Linked DNA regions of Canis lupus familiaris. The protein of the gene in region 2 purifies or fractionates together with the protein of the main gene of each other region. This does not show direct contact. Links are inferred from orthologs where the notes say so. Each region holds a gene or a part of one and is shown on either strand. Other genes may lie near its edges. The genes, in order: EZR, ARHGDIA and RHOC.

Region 1 (2,825 bases), on a different chromosome or scaffold from region 2:
TTTTGAAACAAACCAAAATCCTCCAGCCACTAGAAAATGCCACCATCACATTGCAGAGTGCAGTTTTATCCTCTTCCCTTGTGTGGCCACTATTTATGACGCTCCTCACTGCCTGTGGGCACTGTGCTCAAGCACCCTCCTACCTGCTGTTACCCCTAAATCTTCCAGTAACCTCTCCTAGGTACACATCCCCAATCATGCCCACCTCATTACCACTCCGTCCCTGGAGGTGAGCTTAGTTTGAACCTCTTCTGCAACCAGCTTTTTCTCACTCCGTACTTTATAATGAACACTTTCTCCAAAAACCTAAGGATCCAACTTGCATGGGGGTGGGGTGGGGGGATGGAGCTTAAGAGGAGATGTGAGGGAGGAACCAGGTGTCCCCAGAAGGAGCCACTACAGATGGGGAAGCACAGGTAAGGACAGTGGGGTGGGGCAGGCGGCTGCCACAGCTTGGTAGATGTCTACACTGAATATATCCAAAGCTCCCCTGGGGACCATTTTTCCCAGCAGGCATGGGGGGCTCAGCTGGAGAGGCAGGCTCTCTGGACACTGCAGTGGAATGTGGTTCTTCCTATTACAGCTGCAATTTATTAAACCTCTCTGCAGCATGGTCCTCGGAGCAACCTTACAGGCTGGCTATTACTCCCTACCTGCAGTAAGGAAACGGAGGCATGGAGAGGTCAGGCCACGTGCCCCATCACGCTGCATAAGAGCAGAGCTGCGACCCTCGCCCTGTTTTGGGACCTCCAAGTCCAAATCTTTCCATGGTGACATGGTGTATGCACCAGCGGTCAGAAGAGGCAGGAGGTCTAGTTTCAGGCCCTGTGGCCTGTTGCTAGGGGCACCCACATGACCAGATTTAGAGCTAGTCCTGATGGAGCTCTGGGGTTTGTTAACTCTGCTCCAGAGCAGAGGGGTGGAGACGGCCAGAGCAGAGGGGTAGAAGTGAACAAGAGGCTCCTTGTTCCCTGCTAATCCAACAGCGGCCTCCCCAGCGCACAGGGCAAGCCCATTCCTACAGGGATTCTGGCCTAAGAAGCCCAACTGGGACTGGTAAAGCATCGCAAAACATCCCGAGGCTCGCTACGCCACCCAACAGCCTGGCCCTGGCCGCCTTCTGGCCGTGTGCCCCCACAAGGTCTCTGGCCTGCAGACTCACCCGGTGCTGCCACTCCTCGACCTCGTCCTCCTTGCGCCGCCGCGCCTCCTCCAAGAGGGCGATCTTCGCTGTGTACTCTGCTAGTTCTGCGGCCTAGTAAAGCACACGAAGCTCAAATTATTTCTGGGGCTTTTTGGGAGAGCCCTTTTGCAAATGGACAGCCACACAGTTTGGTGACTGGCCTCATTCCCCTGCTCCTCCCCAGCCGGCAGTGCCCCCTGCTGCCCACCGTGTCCTCAAGGCCATGCCTCACCCAGACCACCACGTCCAGCTCCCGGGATGCCTGCAGCAGGGCCACCGAGGCCCAAACAGCAGCACAGCCCCTCCCACCAGGCTTTACTCTCTCAAGCAGATCGTTTTACAGCCCCAGACACAATCATAAGGCAGGCGTCACTTCTGCATCCCCAGAGGCAGCCTCTCCATAATTCAGCATCATGAAACTCAGGGAGCTCCTACCAGCTGCTCCTGGCTCTTTATCTGATCTGCTGCCTGCCTCTCCAGCTCCTCCTTGGCCCTCAGGGCGGCCACGCGGTCAGCCTCCAGACGCTCTGCCTCCTCCTGGGCACGCTTCCTCTCCTCCTCTAGCTGCAGGGCTCTCTGAATCTGGTCTGACAGTTCTGGAGAGAACACAAGGAGAAAAAGAAACCATGGAAGCGCCCATTGATCCCAGTGCCAGAACATTCCCAGTGAAACAACTACGGTCTTGTTAAAGGACCTGGAACACGATGGGGAGGAGGGGGGGGTTCCCTAGATTTACACAACTACCCACACTGGCTCCAGAGCCTGACAGCAATGCCCCAGCCTTGCAGGGCCTAGAACTCGTCGATCCCTTGCTTGGTGTTGGCGGACACGCAGAAACTGCACCACTCGCCAAGTTTTTGGTTTGTAAGACGGGGCAATGTACCATGGTTTGGGCACTCACTAGCCACGTGACCTGGGGCAAATTACTTTACCTGCTAGCCCTTAATATTGTCATCAGGAAAATGGGGAGGACTCAGTATTAGCCTCAAAGGAGTAAGGGAAAATAAAAAAAAAAAGATAATGTGCATAAAAGCAGTTAGCAGAGCATCTAAAGTACAGGAATATCTTTAACACAAAGACCCATCATCGTGTTCTCTCAGCCACGAGTCTCTGCTGTGGGTCTTGTTTTAACCTGCGAAGTTCCTGGCTGTGGGCAAGCTGACGGTCCATCTGCCCCTTGCTGTGGAATGCACCCCTGCGAACACAACCACTGGGCACAAACCCACCTTTCTCTGCTTTCTTGGTTTTCTCCTCATAGTCCTGCAGCCTGAGCATCAGCTCCTCCTTCTCCCGCATCATCTGCTCCTTCTCTCTCTCCACGGTTTCTCGCCTCTTCTTCTCAGTTTCCAGCTGCTGCCTGTTACAGGGTGAGGGACAACACAGCAATGTCTAGATGCTGGCAGGCACTTGCCATGTCAACACACATCACCAGTGCCCAGTCCAGGCCCCAGGCCCATCCTCTGGATGGTACCGACTTAGGAGGTGGCAGAGTCAACACTGAGCACACCCCTCCCGGGCTGATCCTTGGGACCCACACGGTAACTTCCAAAGGCCATCACCCCCCGAAGCTCCGTTTTGTTTGCTAGGTGATGTCACCCTGGCTCCTCCCCTGGGGAATGGTGCGGGCCCTACGAGGCTGCCC
Region 2 (4,095 bases):
CTTTGGACTTTGGTGCATGTGGTGGGGCACCTGCAAGACAGGGCCCGACGGCCTGGCCGGCCCGTCTTCTCACCCCGTGGCCCCTCCTACACTGTCCTGGGGCAGGTCTGTGTGAGCAGAGCACCAGGGACCTTGCTTCTGAGATTCAGCTTCTAAGAGCCAGTGCAGCTTCGCCTCCAGTGCTTGCTGTTTCCCGGCTCTTGTCCTCTGTCCATGGTCCATCTGTCCGCCTCTGAGGCCTCACCTGGGACAAGTCAGCTACCTTGCTGTGGGCAGCCCTCTGGAGAGGTTGGGAGTGCCAGGTGGCACTGAGTCCTCCAGCGCAGGAGGAACCAGACTCCTGTTCATAGCATCTGCAAGAGCCTAGGGACCGGGGCTCTGGCTGGCGGCTGGCCTGCGACCTCACAGACCAGGAGCCAGGGCCGCCTGCCAAGCAGCTCCCTGATCTCAGCCGTAGAACTGCTGTGTCAAGCTGCTAAATACCATGGGAACGTTTTTACACTGTAATAGATCACGTATAAAATGTGTTTGAATTTTCCTACAGCTGGTTTTTTTTACTTTTTGTTTTGTTTTTCAAAAGCACTTGGGTGATCTGCAAGCCGACCTTTTCCTCTCCCAGCCGCTGGGCGTGTAGGGCGGCGGGCCGGGTGCGGGCTTGCACAGGGGAAGCGGGAGAGCAGCACACCGAGGCGCTCACCACGAGGCTCTGCACACACAGCCGAGGCTCTGCACACACAGCCGGCGCGCGGCTCCTACGTCACGCAAAATCTGCACATATTCCCCCGGTACTAAAAAATATCTCCAAACCGGTAGCCAGGTTCGTAGCTTGCCTTCAGTTCCCTCCGCACAGGTGCCGCGCGGGGCCGAGCGCCGGGCCGAGGGCGGGGCGCGGGGGGGGGGGGCGGCACCTGCCGGGGCTCGGCGGCGCGCGCGGCTCATTCGGACACCTGCCGGCCTCGGGGAAGGGCGGGCGGAAGCGACCGGGCCGGCCGCACCGGGAGCTTCCGGATTAGGCTGCGAGGAGCGCCTCGGGGCCGGACCCCCCTCCGCCGCGCCGGGACCCGGGGACGCCCCGCACCGGAGAGCACCCGGCGCCCCGCGAGCGGCCCCGGCCCCGCCCCCGCGGACGCGCCCACGGAGGCCGGCTCCACAAGATGGCGGCGGCGCGCTCCCGGCGGCCCGTGCGCGCGCATGCGCCGTCCGCCCTCCGCCGTCCGCCCGGCGCGAGCGGAAGTCGCGTGACCCCGGAAGTGGCCGGCCGGGCGCGCGCGGGCGGGGCGGCGACGTTCGTCATTCCGTGCGGGAGGGAGCGCGAGAGCGGCGCGGTCGAGCCTCCGGTGAGCGGCGGCGGCGGCGGCGGCGGGCAGGGCGAGGCGGGGCGGGGCGGGACCGGGAGGGCGGGCGCCGCGGGGCCGGGGGTGCCGCGCCTTTGTTCGCGCCGCTCGCCGGGGTGGGCGCGGGCCTCCTCGGGGGCCACCGCCCGTGTCCCGCGGCGCCCCCGTCCGCGCCGCTGCTCGCCGGCAGACTGGCCGGCGCCCCCTCCCCGGGGATGGCGGGCGCGGCGCCCTCACGGCGGCGTGGTCCCGAGCACCCCTCCCCGCGCGGCGCGCCCGCCCGCCCAGATTGCGGAGCGCTGCGGAAGGAAGTGTGGGCCGCGGCCATCGCTCTCGGAGGATCCTGTCCCCCGCGGCCACACTTGGGTGGCGTCAGGGCGTGAGCCTTCTAGAGGAATTCCAGAGGAAGCGGCCGGGAGGCCTGGAACAGCGGCTGGCCCCACCCCGCCGGCGGCGGTCCTTTGTGGGGCTCGGGCCGCCCCAGGCGACCCCAGGCGGCCCGCCGGTCCGTGGGGACGGGCAGGCCGAGGTCTAGGGGGCCAGGGCCCCGGCCCACCTCCCGCGCCGCCCGGAGGACCCGAGCGGGCTTCCGTGTCCCGGGGCACGCTGTCCGAGCCGCCCGGGGCCAGGATCCCGGAGGAGGATCTTGAGACCATGTGGGCACTGCCGCGCTTCCCAAATCGTGGCTCACGTACCCTGGCCGTTGGAGAAGAGGTTGGCGGGTACTTAGGGCTCCTGGTGAGGGGCCGGGACCCACCTGTGGGACTCGGGCTGGCCGGGTCACCAGAGCTGCGCTGTGGGGACTTGCTTCCCTGTTAGAACCGGGCCCAGGGAGTGTGTTTGGTCAGGGAGACCCAGGAGGAGGTGTCGCTTGGGGAGAGAGTCTGGGCAGCTGCAGAAGAATCTCAGGACTTCAGAGGTGACCCCTCCCTGTCGGGGCTGGGAGTGCTGTCTTCTCCCCCAGGCTTGGGAGAGGGATGCCTGGTCTTTTCAAGGAGCGGGTTGCAGGCCCCACTTGGTTCTGGGTGCTCTGTCCCAGTTTCCAGCAGGTCCCCGAGGTGGGCAGGGCAAGGAGTGTGGCCCTCTCTGGGCCTTAGGAGCCTGTTTGGGGGGTGAAGCTGAGTCTGCAGTTGCTTTCCTCCCGAAGGCTTACATCCCCTTGTGCCCAGACAAGGGGCCGGGTTACCTGCAGAGGGCCCTTCAGTACAGCGCACCTGCACCAGCGGGGGGGCTTGCTGAGAGGCAGGAGAGGGAGATGTGCGTCCCTTCAGGCTGACACAGCCCTGTCCCTGCCCACAGGTGTCCCAGACCAGCTAGGAGTGAGCATGGCTGAGCAAGAGCCCACAGCTGAGCAGCTCGCGCAGATCGCAGCTGAGAACGAGGAGGATGAGCACTCTGTCAACTACAAGCCCCCTGCCCAGAAGAGCATCCAGGAGATCCAGGAGCTGGACAAGGATGACGAGAGCCTGCGCAAGTACAAGGAGGCCCTGTTGGGCCGCGTAGCCGTGTCTGCTGGTAAGTGGGCTGAGGCAGCACCAAAAGGGATGCTTGTCACTTCTGGGTTTCAGCCGCCAGCCCCACCCCCCAGCCTCCAGCAAGTGGGAGGTGGGGAGGCACTCCAACCCACTCTCCCTCCGCAGACCCCAACGTCCCCAATGTTGTTGTGACCCGCCTGACCCTGGTGTGTAGCACAGCCCCGGGCCCCCTGGAGCTGGACCTGACAGGTGAGTGGCATCACTGAGGTCCTCCCGCCTGCCACCCTGCTGTTTCCGCTGAAACTAGTTCTCGGAACGCGGGTGCCCCCTTGTGGGGGGCGCGAGAAGCGCAACCAGGAAGTCTGCAGGCTCTGGCTTTGGAGGGACCTGGGCGGCGGGTGGGGTCAGGGTGGGGGCCGAAGGAGCGCCAGGCGCTGCAGATGGGAGATGCTGAGGTGGGCAGCTTCCTGCAGCTGAGCCTTTTAGTGCAATCTTCTTGGGCACAGGGGACCTGGAGAGCTTCAAGAAGCAGTCCTTTGTGCTGAAGGAGGGCGTGGAGTACCGGATAAAGATCTCTTTCCGAGTAAGGCAGAGGCTGTGGGAGGAGCTGGGAGGTGTCGGGCCTGGAGGGCCCCACCGAGCTCTGCCTGGGTTCTCCCCCTGCAGGTGAACCGGGAGATTGTGTCGGGCATGAAGTACATCCAGCACACGTACAGGAAAGGCGTCAAGAGTGAGTCGGGGGTTGGCCCTGCCCCCGAGATGGCGTGGCACCACTTAGGTGGCCTGTGGGAGGGGGCAGGGTGGAGGTGGCCGCCCAGGGCTCTGGGACCAGGAGGGAGAGGAAGATGGTGGTGTGTGCCCTTAGCCCTGGTGGGATCGGGAGCACCGGTGACCAGTGTGTCTCCTGCACACAGTTGACAAGACCGACTACATGGTGGGGAGCTACGGGCCCCGGGCAGAGGAGTACGAGTTTCTGACCCCCATGGAGGAGGCACCCAAGGGTATGTTGGCTCGCGGCAGCTACAACATCAAGTCCCGCTTCACAGACGACGACAAGACTGACCACCTGTCCTGGGAGTGGAACCTTACCATCAAAAAGGAATGGAAGGACTGAGCCCTGGCCTGGGAGGCGGGCAGGCCTTCGGACAGACAGACGGACCTGTCTGACACGCCCCACCCCTACTGCCCCCACCCCATCCCAACCCCTTACCAAAGTGCTGACGGGTCTGCTCTCCCTGGCCTACCCTTCCCATCCCTCCCGGCCCCACCCCGCAGGCCCCAGCCTC
Region 3 (4,148 bases), on a different chromosome or scaffold from region 2:
CTCCAGGGTTGGAGCCCCTTCTGGAAGAGCTGGCTTTCACCTGCTATATACCAGGGCTTCAAGTCACACTCTGTTACCAGGATTTTGATACTTTTAAAGTTTAGCAATCACAAGGGCCCTATCATGGACACGTCGGCCCTGGCTCAGAGCAGGTCATGCCCGCCCCGTTGCAGTGAGGAGTCCCTCTCCAGACCACAGGCTGGCACAGCCAACTACCAGGGGACAGGTGGGTAAGAGCAAGTCTGCTGAGCATTTCGGTAAAAACCATCCCCCTCAGTCCCCAGAAGCCTGGGAAGGTAGAGGGTGCGCTTCCATTCTGACAAACGGGAAACAAACCTAGGTGAGGTTAGGACTCGTGTCAAAAAAAAAAAAAAAAAAAGGACTCGTGTGTCAGAGCTGGGGGGGCGGGGGCACACTGGAAGCCAGGCTCCATGACTCTAGGGTCTGTCACCTTTTCTACGGATCACCTCAGAGATGGGAAAGAGAGCCGAGGGAGGGGAAACCCAGGGAGGGCAGTGGCAGCAGCCAGCCAGCCTCCCCGGCCCACCCCACCCCATCCCAGTCCCCAAAGCTAGCCCCAGTCGCACAAAGGAGGCTCAGTCCCCGCGGTGCCCACAGCCCACATTTGGGCAGCCTGCCCTCCTCTCCCCATCCTCCTGGGCCCTGGCGGCAACACTGGGTCACTCAGCCCCAGGCAGGGGACAATGACCATACTGTGGGAGCAACACATCCACCATGGGCCGAGTGACACAATAATCTACTAGGGAATCACCTCCACCCACTCCTGGAACAGCCCCTTCCTCCCCTCTGTCTAGCTCACCCCAAGGCCCTGCCCACCCCTCCCTGTGACTCAGGGCAAGGAGTCAGTTTGCCGAGGTTTCCGTAGGGTCCCAGCCCCAGCACAGCCGAGCGAGCACCAAGCCTCCGCAGCCTCCCAGCCTCCTAGCCCCGGATCTGAGCCTCACTTCCTCCCTCCCTGGGGACAGAAGCTGCTCTCCAGCCAGCTGAGGCTCCCCCAGGTCTGCGGCCTCTGAGGAAGAGAGGGCGGACTTGGAGCCGGGAGGCGGCGAGGCCGTAGGGAAGAAGGAGGGGGCCAGAGGCGGAGCTGGGAGGAGCTCCCAAAACTGAGCAGAAAAGGGCCAGTCCCCACACCAACCAGGCAGCCAGCAGTTAAGGGAGAAAGGGATGGTAACCTGATCTCTGCCCCAAACCGGGCTTTTTCTCTCGGACCCACATCCTGTCAAACTGGGCTGAGCTCCTGGACTCCTCAGACCACCACCACCCCACAGCCCTGGCTTGTCTGCCTTTGAGGAAAGCAAGGAGTCTGAGCCCAAAGCTAGTTCTCTCCAACAGTGGGATCCTGGGTGGCCTCCCTCCACACACACACACACACACACACACACACACACACATACAAGTGGGATGAGAGGAAGTGGATGAGTCAGAGAGAATTTATAGGAATTCAGAGGATACCGCCACACTGTCCCCCCCACAAAGGGGCTCTCCCCCTAGTACCCCAAAAGATAGGCAAGGCACTCACTGTGCCAGCAGGTCCCCTCCAAAGATGGAAACCACCTTCAAAAAGGGAGTTCTCCCTGGAAATTCTGCCCAAGTGATTAACTCCCCCGTACCCAGTCCCGCTAGTTCCATTGGCCCAGCTGGGCGAAAACAGGCTGGGGGCACCTGGGATGGGCAGTGCTGATGAAGGGCAGTCACGTCCACAGTGAGAACCGGTTGCTTAGATGTGAGCAGGCCACTCACTGCCTCCCTGCAGCAGGGCATTTAGGTGGTACCAGATGGTGGGAGGCACAGAGGCCAGAATTCAGGGGCAAGGGCATGCATTAAGTGATCTGGAGCCCCCAGCTCAATCCAAAGACTTTCCCTTCACGCTCTCATTGGGCAAGAAAAGCAGCTGGCTAGGCCAAGCCAGGCCAGGCCAGTAGGCCCAAGGCCAACCTGGCAAGGAAAACAGCTCCCTGTGAAAGGCAGCCCCACAGGAACTGCCCTACTGACCCTCAGAGGGGCAACAGAACCCAACACAGAGGCTGGGATGCAGCCCACCAGCTCCTGGGCCTTCCCTAGGACAAGACGAACCACCCTCTCCCCTCAATCCTGCTCCAAATTTCCAGATGCCTGAGGGTGGGCTGCAGCCTGCAGACCAGCCCTGAGGGCTGGCGAAGAAATCAGATACCACGTCGACTTTCAAGCCAGAAGTGAGGGCAGGACTCAGCGCCGGGTCCTCCGGCCCAAGCCCCGTAGGGCTCCGGGAGTGCCAGGGAGGGAGGGGTCTGGGAGAGAGGAGGTCCTCTTCCGAGGGAGCTGCGCCTCCGGCCTCCCCGGCTCCCGGCTCCCGCCCCAGGACCGCTCGGGAGCCGTCTAGGGGGGCGACCAGACCTCGGCGAGCGGCGGCCGCCCCGGGGTCACACCGCGCCCCGTGCCCGGATTCCCACCTCCGTCCGGATGGGGGCCGGGGCGTCGGGCCGGGGGCTCCGTCGCCGAGACCGGAGTCGCCTCCTGGCTTCTCGCCCGGCGGGGCGGGTTCCGGGAAGCCGGGAAGGGGAGGCCGGAGGCCCCGCGGGGCAGCGGCCGGGCCAAAGCCCCCTCCCCGCCGCGCGCCCGCCCGAGCCGCGGCCGAGCGGACGGAGGCGACGGTGCCCTCCGGGGACGAGTTCCCGGGACGCCCCGCCACCCCGAGCCCCGCCACCCCGAGCCCCGGCCCGGCCCGGTACCTTCCGCTCCGCCGCCTCCAGCTGCGCGGCCAGGGCCAGAGGCTGAGACTGACCCGGGGAGGGGGCCCGCCCTCCTCCAGCGCCGGCGGGGAGGGGAGGGGGGGAGGGGGGGAGGGAGGGAGGGAGGGGCGAGGCGGGCCCCGCAGGGGGCGGGGCCGCGGGGCGGGGGCGGGGCCACGGGGCGGGGCGGGGCCGCGGGCGGGGCCGCGGGCGGGGCCGCGGGCGGGGGCGGGGCCGCGGGGCGGGGCGGCCCTTGGCTCCGGCTGCGCACGGCCCGGCCTGGGGCCGCCGCGGTCCTCCCGGGCTGCGGGGCCGGGGTCGCGGGGGCCGCGCGGCCGCTGACGGAGTGGGCGGGCCCCGAGGGGCCTCGGCTTCCGCCCCGCCTTGCAGCCCCCGGGGGAGTCGGTCTTGGGGAAAGTTGCGGGGCGCTGCGGGGGGGGGCGGGGGGAGGGCCGCTGCTGCCCCCCCGTGGCCGAGCGGCGCCCCGCGCCCGCGCCCACCCCCGGGGCCCCGCCCACCCGGGACGGCCGCTCTCCGCTCGGGAAGTCCTGAGGGGTCGGTTCCGTCCAACATCACGCCCCGCCCCTGGGACTTTTCGGATCCTCTGAGACCCAGGCCACAATCCCCCTCCTTCCCCGCGCTCGGCATTTCCTCGGGTCGGTGACTGTGCACCCCGAAAGGGCACTCCTGGAAGCCTTTCCTGGTCTCAGCCGGGAAGCCACCTTCCGTCTCCCGGGCGCTGCCTCTGTGCCGCTGGGGACCCAGCCGGTCCGACACGTCGCGCTGGGCCCTCATCTCCGTGTCTGTCTACACTTTTCCCGTTCAGGTGGCTGAGGAGGATGAGGATGAGGATGAGGAAGCCTACCAGGATGTTACTAGTTTGTGACCTGTTGGCTACATAGCTCAGCCCTCTTACTACTCATCATGGATCTTTGGGTTAAGCATATCCATCTCCTTTTGCTTGTAAGGATACTGAGGCTCAGACAAGTGGCTTGCCCAAATTTTTGCGATCTGTATGAGACAAGTGAGAGTTCAGTCAGGGCCATCTGGCTCTGGAGCTGGTGCTTTCTCCCTGCTTGTCCTCTACACCCTTCCCACCTGTCCATCCCCACTGCCTGGCACACTGTGTGGCACATCTCACCGTTTTTCAAGAAATATTCTCTGAATGAACGAATGTCAGAAGTCATGTAGCCTTAAAAGCTCTGAAGTGCAGACCACACTTTTGATATAAACGAGTAAGCCGAGGTCCAGAGAAGTTGGGTCCCCAAGCCTCTTCAGGTGCTCAAAAAACATGCACTGAGTGTGGACTGGGAGCTACGAGCTCAGTTCAGATGGATTTCTGTCCTCAAAGACCCTACAGTCCAAATTCAAAAACCAACTTGAAGATAGCAAGTTACGGAACTCTCATTACATGCAACT

What was found.
Region 1: the proteins of ARHGDIA (region 2) and EZR purify together in Homo sapiens (co-purification; 3 studies listed by BioGRID and IntAct, with this or other methods). This does not show direct contact. The link is inferred for Canis lupus familiaris from reciprocal best matches to the Homo sapiens genes ARHGDIA and EZR.
Region 3: the proteins of ARHGDIA (region 2) and RHOC purify together in Homo sapiens (affinity purification with mass spectrometry; 4 studies listed by BioGRID and IntAct, with this or other methods). This does not show direct contact. The link is inferred for Canis lupus familiaris from reciprocal best matches to the Homo sapiens genes ARHGDIA and RHOC.

The regions. Positions count from the first base shown.
Region 1 is NC_049222.1:48,655,482-48,658,306, forward strand, and holds part of EZR (ezrin), read right to left. Parts: intron 2,541-2,825; coding exon 2,410-2,540; intron 1,780-2,409; coding exon 1,619-1,779; intron 1,256-1,618; coding exon 1,163-1,255; intron 1-1,162. UniProt on the Homo sapiens protein: Probably involved in connections of major cytoskeletal structures to the plasma membrane. In epithelial cells, required for the formation of microvilli and membrane ruffles on the apical pole. Along with PLEKHG6, required for normal macropinocytosis.
Region 2 is NC_049230.1:1,242,162-1,246,256, forward strand, and holds ARHGDIA (rho GDP-dissociation inhibitor 1), read left to right. Parts: upstream 1-1,208; 5' UTR 1,209-1,337; intron 1,338-1,910; exon of another isoform or gene 1,911-2,048; intron 2,049-2,633; 5' UTR 2,634-2,659; coding exon 2,660-2,849; intron 2,850-2,974; coding exon 2,975-3,058; intron 3,059-3,315; coding exon 3,316-3,392; intron 3,393-3,475; coding exon 3,476-3,539; intron 3,540-3,723; coding exon 3,724-3,923; 3' UTR 3,924-4,094; downstream 4,095-4,095. UniProt on the Homo sapiens protein: Controls Rho proteins homeostasis. Regulates the GDP/GTP exchange reaction of the Rho proteins by inhibiting the dissociation of GDP from them, and the subsequent binding of GTP to them.
Region 3 is NC_049238.1:63,590,711-63,594,858, reverse strand, and holds the start of RHOC (rho-related GTP-binding protein RhoC), read right to left. Parts: upstream 2,839-4,148; 5' UTR 2,730-2,838; intron 1-2,729. UniProt on the Homo sapiens protein: Regulates a signal transduction pathway linking plasma membrane receptors to the assembly of focal adhesions and actin stress fibers.